Caenorhabditis elegans: one gene and its partner. The protein of the gene in region 2 interacts with the protein of the main gene of each other region in a pairwise test. Each region holds a gene or a part of one and is shown on either strand. Other genes may lie near its edges. The genes, in order: nas-6 and gipc-2.

Region 1 (6,546 bases), 7.5 Mb from region 2:
GAAAATTGAAGAAAAAGATATCATCAAACAAAATTTAGTACCGGAATTCATAATTTCAAATTTGTGTGAGCTTGATGGGTAAGACGCAATTGAGCATAAATTTCGTTTTAATTTTTTCGTCGTCTTTTATAACTATCTTGGGAATTTGATAATCATGAAAATATAAACGTGATGTTTGTTTTTCTCCGTTTTTCAAATTATTAAGACAAATAAATAATGTTGGAAATAGAGGTGTCGTTGGGTCGAAAAGGGTCGACCCGGAACCCACTTCATGGGTCGCGAGTCGACCCGCGACCCATTGCATAGTTTGAAAACATCATCACAATATTGTGATGATGTTTTCAAACTTTCAAATTGTACAATTATATTATTACAAAAAATAAGAGAATACAGTTTGAAACCCGTCCGATTCTAAATTCTAATTGTTCAAGATTTCGTAACTTTGGATTTTTTATCTCTCAGGTCGTTACTTATATCATTCCGATATCACATCATGTTTGATGCTAACTTTGAAAAATAGTTAGTTTTCCAACGAATAATTTTATTTTTCGATTTTATATTTTATGTGTAAACTTGCAATATTAATGACTTGGCAAAAACGTAATTTATTTAATTGTAAGTATAAATTATATAAATATTTTCAAAAAATGAAAAAATTGGCTTTCAGAATTACATTATACACACGTCATGGAACAATAAGCAACAAAATAAATAACACCAGATAGAAGATCATCCCGATTTTTTGAGTTTTCGATCACCAGGACAATGTTTACACGTAAATGGACAGTACGATTTCATAACAAAGAAAAATGAAGCACGGGTACAGTATTGTGCAAAGTGCGGGCAATCCGCAAAATGATCGACACATTCTGAAAATAAAGTTTGTTGGGAGTTTTTTTTTAATGTTACAGTTTGAAAACTTTCTGTAAACATTTTTCAATGCGATCACAGAAATGAAACAAAACACTAACTTTCTCCAGAATCGACCGAATTTTTATCCACAACTTGCGGAATCAGTTGATGAGGTTCCTCGGTAGTTGCAGGCTTTACTTTCTCTTTCTTCTTAGTTTTACACGAATACAGTTTGTTGATCTAAACTTTTTATGTTAAAATTTATTTTGAAAAATATCCAAAATTATTTACTTTCACAATATCCAGAGGTGACAAGTCCATAGCGGTCCCAATAACCTGTGTGAATCCATTTTCTACAGTTTCTATTGTGTTTCGTCCGTTTCTTGAAAACGCAGTGCTGTCATAGTGCATTATTGATTTGTAATCGTAGTTTTCTCCTTGAAGATCCTAGAAATTACTATTTAACTTTCCCACAAACGCAGCTTCTTCGATTGTTCATTTTATTCTTTTTCGAGAGTATTTATATTTTTCTGAAAGTCTATACATTTACTGAAACTACTGCAATACAGTGAAACCAAGCCCGGTTGGTAGCAATGTTTATTGTGCCCATATTTACATTAAATTACAAGTGTTTAAATCAATTGAAAACAGTTTTAAAACAAGTTGATTGAGCTGACTTGGAATTCTGAAATTATTTGCCTACCGTTCGCTTTTTAAAATTCAAAACACTTGATGGCCCATAGAAATTGCGGATGCGAAGTTTTTCATAGAAACAACAGTTCAAAATTTTGAATTTAAGTCTATTGTTATTCTTGACTGGAATACATTTATATCACACTCCGTTTTTATTTTATGAAAAATACGGATAAATCGAATAAATTTTTGTATTTCAAACCAGGGGTATGCGGCAAATGCCGTCAAAAATTTTTGAGTTACACGAGTTCCGATGATTTTTTGTGATTTATAATGCTCACTTGTAACACTGCCGAAATTTTATCGAATTGAGACTTCATTCCAGGCAGAATATTATCCCAGTTGATCTTAATGTGATCATCGCGATCTAAAAAGTAAGTATTATTCAGTTTAAGATCTTAAGTAAACAAAGTTTTTTTACACGAACTGACCAGCTCTCGAGTGTTCGTGCCAAAATCCGACGGAATGCATCAGTTCGTGTACAATTATTTCATGAAAAAAGCAGCCACGTCCCAAAGAAATTTCCTGTTTTCCTCCAGTTCGTCCAACTTGAGAGTAGCACCTGAAAAATTAAAATTCAGTAAGGGTTGTATAAGATATATATTCTTACCCATATCCTTTTACAATGTTTAAGTAGTCTGTTTGACCTTCTCGTTTTTCAAATCTAATGCATGTTGTTCGTCGGTAACTGTCAAACGCTTTTTCCAAAATTTTTATTTCATTCGGTGCTGGAAAAACATGGGGTTCAAAATTTCGCTTATATTGCAGGTACTGCTGCGCGCCCACAGACCAAAAAATCTAGTGTCTCCAGGAACTTGACGAAGTTAGTCTTTACATGATTTTACTGATTGTTTTAGATTTTAAAGTTTCCTATTGAATAATTAATTTGAACAGCGAAAACTCAACCACCGATCTTTCTCTGACCGCGTCGCTTGTGCCACTCGTCACGAGTGTTTGGTGTGTAACTATTTTATGTGACCTCTGAAAACCAAGGAAACACGTGATTTTGATGTTCTGACAAAACTATGAATGTTTAGTGTAATTTTTGTTAGAGGTGATCAAACTGCCATCACCACGTATCTCCGCATTTTCAAAAGGTTTTTCTGGAATGGAGCACGCTGCCTTCACATGCCCTGTGGATGTTTCCTACTAAAAAGCTGCTTTTTTAGACAACTACTCACTCACAGAATGCCGTATCCATTTCGTATGGGATCACACCGCCCTCCCACGTTAACTGCTTGTTTTTTAATGCATTGAAAAGCACTGGACCTTCCTGCAAGATAATTATATCACTGAGCTCTCATTCCATGTACTTACTGGGAGCTTGAGAAGGTTAGGATCGACTCCATCAATATCCCCTTGAAACTTCCCTGAAATTATTTAGCATTAATTAAACAGCATGATTTTTTTATAATTTATTAATTTATACCTTACTACATATATCATACCTTTGGAGGTTTTGTAAAACTTATGCTTTGAATGCCAAGTATTGCGCGTGACGTTTAAATCATTTGTTGTTAATAACTTCAGAATTCAGAAAAAATAAATTACTCCTTGAAGTTCGCTTTGAGAGTTTAACCATTGGTTTGATGCATTATTCATAAAATAATGATTAACAAAAGAAATGAGAAAGAATGTTTTGTTTGTCAACAAATTTTGATTTTAAAAACCAAGAACAATCAATTCTTGTACCCCCTATATTTTAAAAGCATAAGAAATCTATGTTTTTTTAGAGTTGAATTGTTTTGAGATCCAGAATCACCGTTTCAAAAAAACGTCTGATATCAAAATTTCCTAAATTTGCCATGAAACTGAAACTTAACCAATCGAAAATTCGAAAATGTTCACAAAAAGTTTCTAGGTAAAAAGTTACCAAATTATATTCAATTTTGTTTTAATGACAAATCTTTTGATTTTGAATTTTTTTAAAAGAAAACTTCATATTTTTGGTTTTGCTCATTTTTCTCATTTTTAGACGTCCTGATATTATTTCATTGAAAAATATTATAAAAAATGAAAATGTGTAAACTAAGGATTTAGGACGAAATCTGAAGTTTTCGCAAAACAGGATAACCACAGTGTTTACAAAAACTGTATCAAAACCGTCTTTTTTCCTAATTCCGGGATCGTAAAATATCTCATTATGTGGAGAAAAGTCCGGGGAGAAAAGTCAGACAAAAGCGGGTGAGAAGTTATGAAGTTCCTTTTCCAATATAAACCATACACAAATCAAAAATGTTTAATTTATATATTGTATATGCGATTCACATTTTTAACAGCATCGGATGTCGTAAAATGCGGAAATAAGTTATAAAAAACGCAAGATTAAGCAAGCTCGCTCCAGTATAAAGGCTGGAAGACGCCGTGTTACAATTATTAAAATTGTCTCCAAAAATACAATGAAAGCCTACACTATTTTCTTTACGATCGTTCAATAGAACTTAATCACACGTGGGAGCTGCAAACAAGATTCAACTCAATGCAATAATAAAGAAACCACCCGAGAATGGTTTTGAATAATTTATGCAACATCAATAGCAAATTATTGTTAAATGTACCTGAATTTTGCCATTCATGATGTGTCACCCTGTGATCTTCAGGAATGTATCCGGCAAAGCTTCGAAACACATCTGCCGATGGTTGAGATCTGACAACAGTTGAAACTAAGCAGTAGGTTAAAAGCAAAACGTGGTCAAGCATAATTGTGGGGGTAATGTCGTCTGGGACGTGTTAAAGACAGAGACAGGCAAGTGAGAGCTTGCGATGTTCTTTCAAGAGCCTTCAATTCCTGGTGAAAGAGGAAAAGAAGAGACGAAGTAGAGAGCAGGGAAGGGCAACCGGAATGACCGGATGCTCACAGAGATGTTAGTGAGTCAGTGTTGGAGCACCTACAGAGCACAGAGAATCAAACGACACGTGTCAAATGTGTATACACTAAGGGGCAAGCGAGGGTACTGTCCGCCTTGCGCGCGGAGCACCAGCTCTTTTTGTTTCCGTTTTTCCTCCGCGTCCGAGAAGAGACTTCTAGGCACACACACACACACACACAAAACGAATATGACAGGATCGGCGTAGATAGAGAGAAGAACTCTGAGAGTGTGTATGTATGTGAATGAATGAACATAACATTTCTCACACGATCTCTCTTCAGAAAGAAGGAGGCCGAGAAAAAGAGCAAATCGTTTCTCGATCGCCACCTCCGCCATGTTCTTTTTGTGGGCGCCGATTCTAATGATCACAGCGCAAGAGAACATGGAACGCGCATCAATATTTGAGTTTCGAAATAGAAATAAAAATTATTTGCAATTGAAACAGTCTGTGGTTAACATATCGGATTAATTTTAGGTTGAAGAGACATGTCATGTTTATCAGAAAGATCAACACATATTCTATAAAGATTCTATGAATTCTATGAATTCTATGAATTCTATTCTATGAACACCGTAATTTATCTATTAGTATAGCCTTCCTGTTAGACTTGCACTCACTATTAGTGTTGCGCTCCCTAATAATATTGCATTTACTTTTTTTCTGATACAAAAACACTAATTTCGTTACTTCAACTTTGCTGTTTTGCGTATTTTGCAATAAGTACACACGAAATTCAAAAATGTTGAAATTTTTTGAAATTTTTTGTTAAAATCAATGACAATTTTGATAAAAAATGACTAAAATTTGTTACTCTTGTAAACGAAAACTAGTCGTTTTGCAAAAAAGCGTCTGAAAATTATTATTGCACTTCCTTGTAATGCAACCGCGATGGCCTTCAAAAACAGTATTGCATCTATACTAATATTAAAAATACGGTATACTATTCTTGGAAAAATAGGATCCAAATTGAGTCCCATAACCCAAGCCAGTTGCCAAAACTTCGAAAATTTGAAAACTCTGTTTTTTGACGGAGCTCACAAGCTCAGCTCCAAGTTGTGCTCAACTTGGGGATGTGTCAAATGTATGCAAAATGATATGTTGAATTATTTTCATAAAATCGTGTATATATTAAATTCTAAAAGCCATGAGTTTTCCAATTTTTTTTTCAATAAAAATTTCCCGTGCAACTATACTTTCTACTTTTTGGACCGATATAAAGACAAAATGTTGTAACTTCTGCAAACTTCTGCAATTTTTTGCCAACTCTACTTCATTTTGACTGATGTTATTTCTAGTCCACTAGGCCCGCGTAGTGGACAACAATATTTTGATTATATTTCATTCGATAAATTTCCTACGAAAACTCGATTGAATAAATGATTTCATGGCTGTTTCTTAAATATTTTGCATATACTTTATTGGAATATTCTTGTGATAGTCTCCTGTGTTTTAATATTCAACAACTTTATTTTCTCATACACTCATATCACATTTTAAGAAAAAAGCTATTGAAAGAAAAACAAGAAATGGTAAATAGGAACATGGTTTCTTAACGGAAAAAATGAAATTGCAATATCTGAACCTTATTCATTCGCAAATATAATTCACTGGACTTTATAAAAAGACCATCGAACAAAGAAACTAACATACCTAGTTTTCAAACATCACCAACAGAACTGTTTCTTCTAAAAAAACGTGAAGCCAGTGAGTAAAATAAACTGTGGAGCCAGAGAGTTTATTTTACTCTCTGGCTTCACCATATATTTTACTCTCTGGCTTCACCGTATATTTTACTCTCTGGCTTCACCATATATTTTACTCTCTGGCTTCACAGTTTATTTTACTCTCTGGCTTCACCGTATTTTTTACTCTCTGGCTTCACAGTTTATTTTACTATCTGGCTTCACCATATATTTTACTCTCTGGCTTCACCGTATTTTTTACTCTCTGGCTTCACCATATATTTTACTCTCTGGCTTCACCGTATTTTTTACTCTCTGGCTTCACAGTTTATTTTACTCTCTGGCTTCGCCGTATTTTTTACTCTCTGGCTTCACCGTATTTTTAACTCTCTGGCTTCACCGTATATTTTACTCTCTGGCTTCACCGTATATTTTACTCTCTGGCTTC
Region 2 (3,646 bases):
ATGGTTCCAGCTGGAGTGATGGCAGCAAACGCAGCTTGGGCATCAGTTGCATCAGCCGGAGCAGCGGCAAAGTGAACAACAAGCTTGTCTTCTTTTGGTGCTCCAGCAGTACGAGTGATTGTGATGTCCTTTGAACCAGATGGATCAACGAATCCGAATACCGGAGTGATGCGGTATTCGTTGTTGTTTGAAGACTTGATCTTGAAGATCATCTTCTCAGCTCCAGCATTAACAAGTTTGTGGGTGGAAGCACCTCCAGCAGCTGGAACAGTGCACGCTGGTGGATCGGCCGTCAGAGACATCTTTTTGAAACTTTATGTTAAAGTTGTATAAACTGAACATATTACCCTTATTTATAGCAGTCGTTATCAAGATGAACCAGTGACCTTTCGTGAACTTTTGATTTTAAATATTTTTGTAAATTTAAAAAGGTTTGTTAATATCAACTGTCTGCTCCCTTTTGAAAATATAGTTTTTTAAAAGTTATTTACGCTCTCGAGAAGACGTGGAAGAGGTTAAGGAAAAAATAAAAATATAGAAAAAAAAATATTTTTGTAAATTTAAAAAAGTTTTTTTTTCCGATGTATGTAAGGATAAAAATAAATAAGTCATTAAATATATTTTTCTATAACATGAAAAATTCACCGCTAACTGGCGTCAACTAACAATGACGTGTTTAGTTGGAATGTCAATTTCAAAGGTTCGGAATTACTTGAGTTGTGGACTAATAGACACTAAAGAATAACTTTGAGATACGCGATTTTTGCCAAAAACAGAATGTCCACCTTCGGCACGACTAATTTTGAATTTTCGAATAACTTATTTTCATATATTTCGCCTAACAAAACATTTTTGTATGTAACAGAAATGTGTCGTGTGGAGACCAGATGTATTTATGGAGCAAAACTTTGCACATGATTGTAAATAATAAATCAGTGATTTAAAAAATCAATTTTAAATCAAAATGCGGAGAAATGGGCGGTAGGCAGCCAGGTAGGCACGTGGGCCTCAAGAACATTTTGTTTTTTCTTCTCAACATATTTTTTTGTCAGATAATTTAAAATTTATTTATTACAGTTACGATTGTTTATTGTACATGCATGAAACTCCTAACAATGCTTCTAATGTTTTGCGAGTTTTGAACGATGGCTTCTCACTTATTGGAACGTATGTTTTCAGTTCATTACTCAAATGAAGTAAAGGATCATATAGCTAACTAGAAGTTCTAAATTTTACATCCTTCACTTTGTTCGGCTCCTCCGATGAGTACATCACCCTCTTTGAGCTTATGAACAGCAGGAGTCTAATATTTTCGCCACAGACTTCTGAGATTTACGATTATACACGTCCCCGGGTCCCGACACGAGTGAAACGTTTCATCAAGCCTATACTTTGCCAAAAAAAAAATTTTTTTTAATAAGAAGTATCAAAATCACGGTAAGTATCAAGAAAATCATGCAAAGTCAAAGATCAAAGAACCCTGGATTTTGAGGCAAAAATCTATACATTTTTTCCGAATTACAATTTTACTTGTTACACGTGTTTGAGTTTAAAAACAGGTAAAAAAAGAAAGCATATACATGAATAAATAGAAACGAAAAAATATTCTAAAGTTATATTTTTTAATGAACTTGCTCAGCGTGGAACCCCACTTTGGTTGGCATCCAAGCTCCGCCCACATCAATGTCTATAAATAATCAATTTTCTGGTAAATCCTTCATTCATCGATTTACTCGACTTACAACAACTAATTACAACTAACTCTTCGCAATGCAAGGACAAGGAGCCCCATGCCGCCGTTCTAGGTATGCATTTCATGAGCCCGAGTCTCAGATCTCAGGTTACCATGAATATTTCAGAAGCCGATCAAGATCTCGTGGAGCCTTCAATCGTCGCTCCAACTATGGAGAAGCTCATCCAATTCAGCCTGCCGTTTTAGCTTCAATTGTCGAAGAACCATCATCTTCAATCATGCCAGTGGTGAACCCATTGATGGTTGCAGCAAAAGAGCTCAAATTTCCCTGCCAGTTGGCTCATGGATCTCCAGTTGCAATCATTGACAAATGGAACGATATGGAGGAATTGTACCAATCAATTGCTGATTTCTTTGCAATCTCAAAAGACGATATCATTTTCCTGACGGTTAATGATTTCAAGGCAAGCTTTGATACTTTAATTCCTCTAATTCGAAATATTTTCAGCCAGACATGAAGAACATGTTCAGTGGAACACTCAACTTCAAGGATATGCTCTTTGCACACGTTCGCGGACAAGCAACTGAGCTCCGAATGGTCAAAGACGCCAACGTCTTTGGAGTGACAGTCACTGACAACGGACTCGGAAATGCATTTATCAAGGTCATAAGCCCAGGTTCGGTGTTCGATCGTATGCGTCCAGCAACACAAGTTGGTCAACTCATTGAGGCGATTAATGGAGAGTCTGTGCTCGGTAAAAGACATTACCAAGTTGCTCGTATGTTGAAAAGTATTCGTCGCGGCGAGGAATGTATCATTCGATTGATTGCTCCAAAGAGTGCGGATCCAGGAACTATGAAGATGACTAGGAAAACTGGCGGAGATTTAGCAAAAGGAACCATTCGTTTCAAATCGGAAGGTGGATTTGCTGTTGAAGATATTCAAGATCAGATGATCCAGGCTGAGATGTGCGGGAAACTCAACGAACTGTTCGACCAATATTTGGGAGTTCAAGATGATCAATTGGCCATGAGAATATGGGAAACTGCCTCAAACTGCGAGACACTTTGGCAACTCAGTGAAGCCATCAAACAGTCGGAGCTCTCAATGTTCGAGTTCCCGGATGGATTGGTATTCGACATGTGGGGAATTATTGGTGATTTGAAACGCGAACAACGTGAGAAAAAGCCAATGCCAGTCATGAAGAATGCTATTTCAAGACCATCGGCTATGAAACTCTTTGACTAACTTGTATTGTCAAATAAATTATTTTTCTTGTCCTAGCTGAATTTAATTGTTTCTAAATCAATTTACTATATATAAAGCGCGTGTCGTTCCGTCACTATGTAGTTTGATCTCTGATCATTTTGGGAAACCTTATGCTAAATACGCAGCAGACATCGATCGAGGTCCGCGATAGACACCGTACATCTAATGTGCTTTCTCAAAAAAGTCGAGGGCCGCGCCGTAGGTGCTAGATTTCAACTTGCAATTGTATTCTCTCCAACAAGAATCGGCATTCTAGAGGTTTCCAATGATTTTATTTTGATGAAACGCTACAGTACTCCTTTTATACAATTGACCAGCCGCTGACCGCGCCTCCGGCGCGGCCAACGACTGGCGAAATTTGAAATGTTTGACACATCCCTGAATTCATTAGGTTTTTCTATAAAAAAAAGTAAGCAGAATTTGTTTCCCTGCTGCATGTGTTTAAGTTTTTTCGAATATGCTGAAAGATTAAATTTTGAAAACCATCACACCACAACCTTAAACAAAGTACAGTAACCCTACAGTACTACTACAGTACTACTACAGTACCTTGACATTATCCATCACCAACTCCCAACGCAATATCCCTTCAAAAGCTGAAAAATCAAAATTCCCTAAACTACAGTAACCCTATAGTAACCCTACAGTAACCCTACAGTACCCCTACAGTACTACTACAGTAC

The links.
Region 1: the proteins of gipc-2 (region 2) and nas-6 interact in a two-hybrid assay, tested with the Caenorhabditis elegans proteins (one large-scale study listed by BioGRID).

What each region holds. Positions count from the first base shown.
Region 1 is NC_003282.8:17,486,253-17,492,798, forward strand, and holds nas-6 (Zinc metalloproteinase nas-6), read right to left. Parts: upstream 4,528-6,546; 5' UTR 4,246-4,527; coding exon 4,104-4,245; intron 3,320-4,103; exon of another isoform or gene 3,299-3,319; intron 2,916-3,298; coding exon 2,863-2,915; intron 2,819-2,862; coding exon 2,731-2,818; exon of another isoform or gene 2,727-2,730; intron 2,274-2,726; coding exon 2,156-2,273; intron 2,108-2,155; coding exon 1,977-2,107; intron 1,913-1,976; coding exon 1,827-1,912; intron 1,300-1,826; coding exon 1,144-1,299; intron 1,093-1,143; coding exon 972-1,092; intron 870-971; coding exon 730-869; 3' UTR 590-729; downstream 1-589. UniProt on the Caenorhabditis elegans protein: Metalloprotease.
Region 2 is NC_003282.8:10,025,739-10,029,384, reverse strand, and holds gipc-2 (PDZ domain-containing protein), read left to right. Parts: upstream 1-1,718; 5' UTR 1,719-1,770; coding exon 1,771-1,805; intron 1,806-1,859; coding exon 1,860-2,157; intron 2,158-2,201; coding exon 2,202-2,942; 3' UTR 2,943-2,972; downstream 2,973-3,646. Other genes in the region: msd-2 (MSP domain-containing protein), read right to left, coding at 1-302.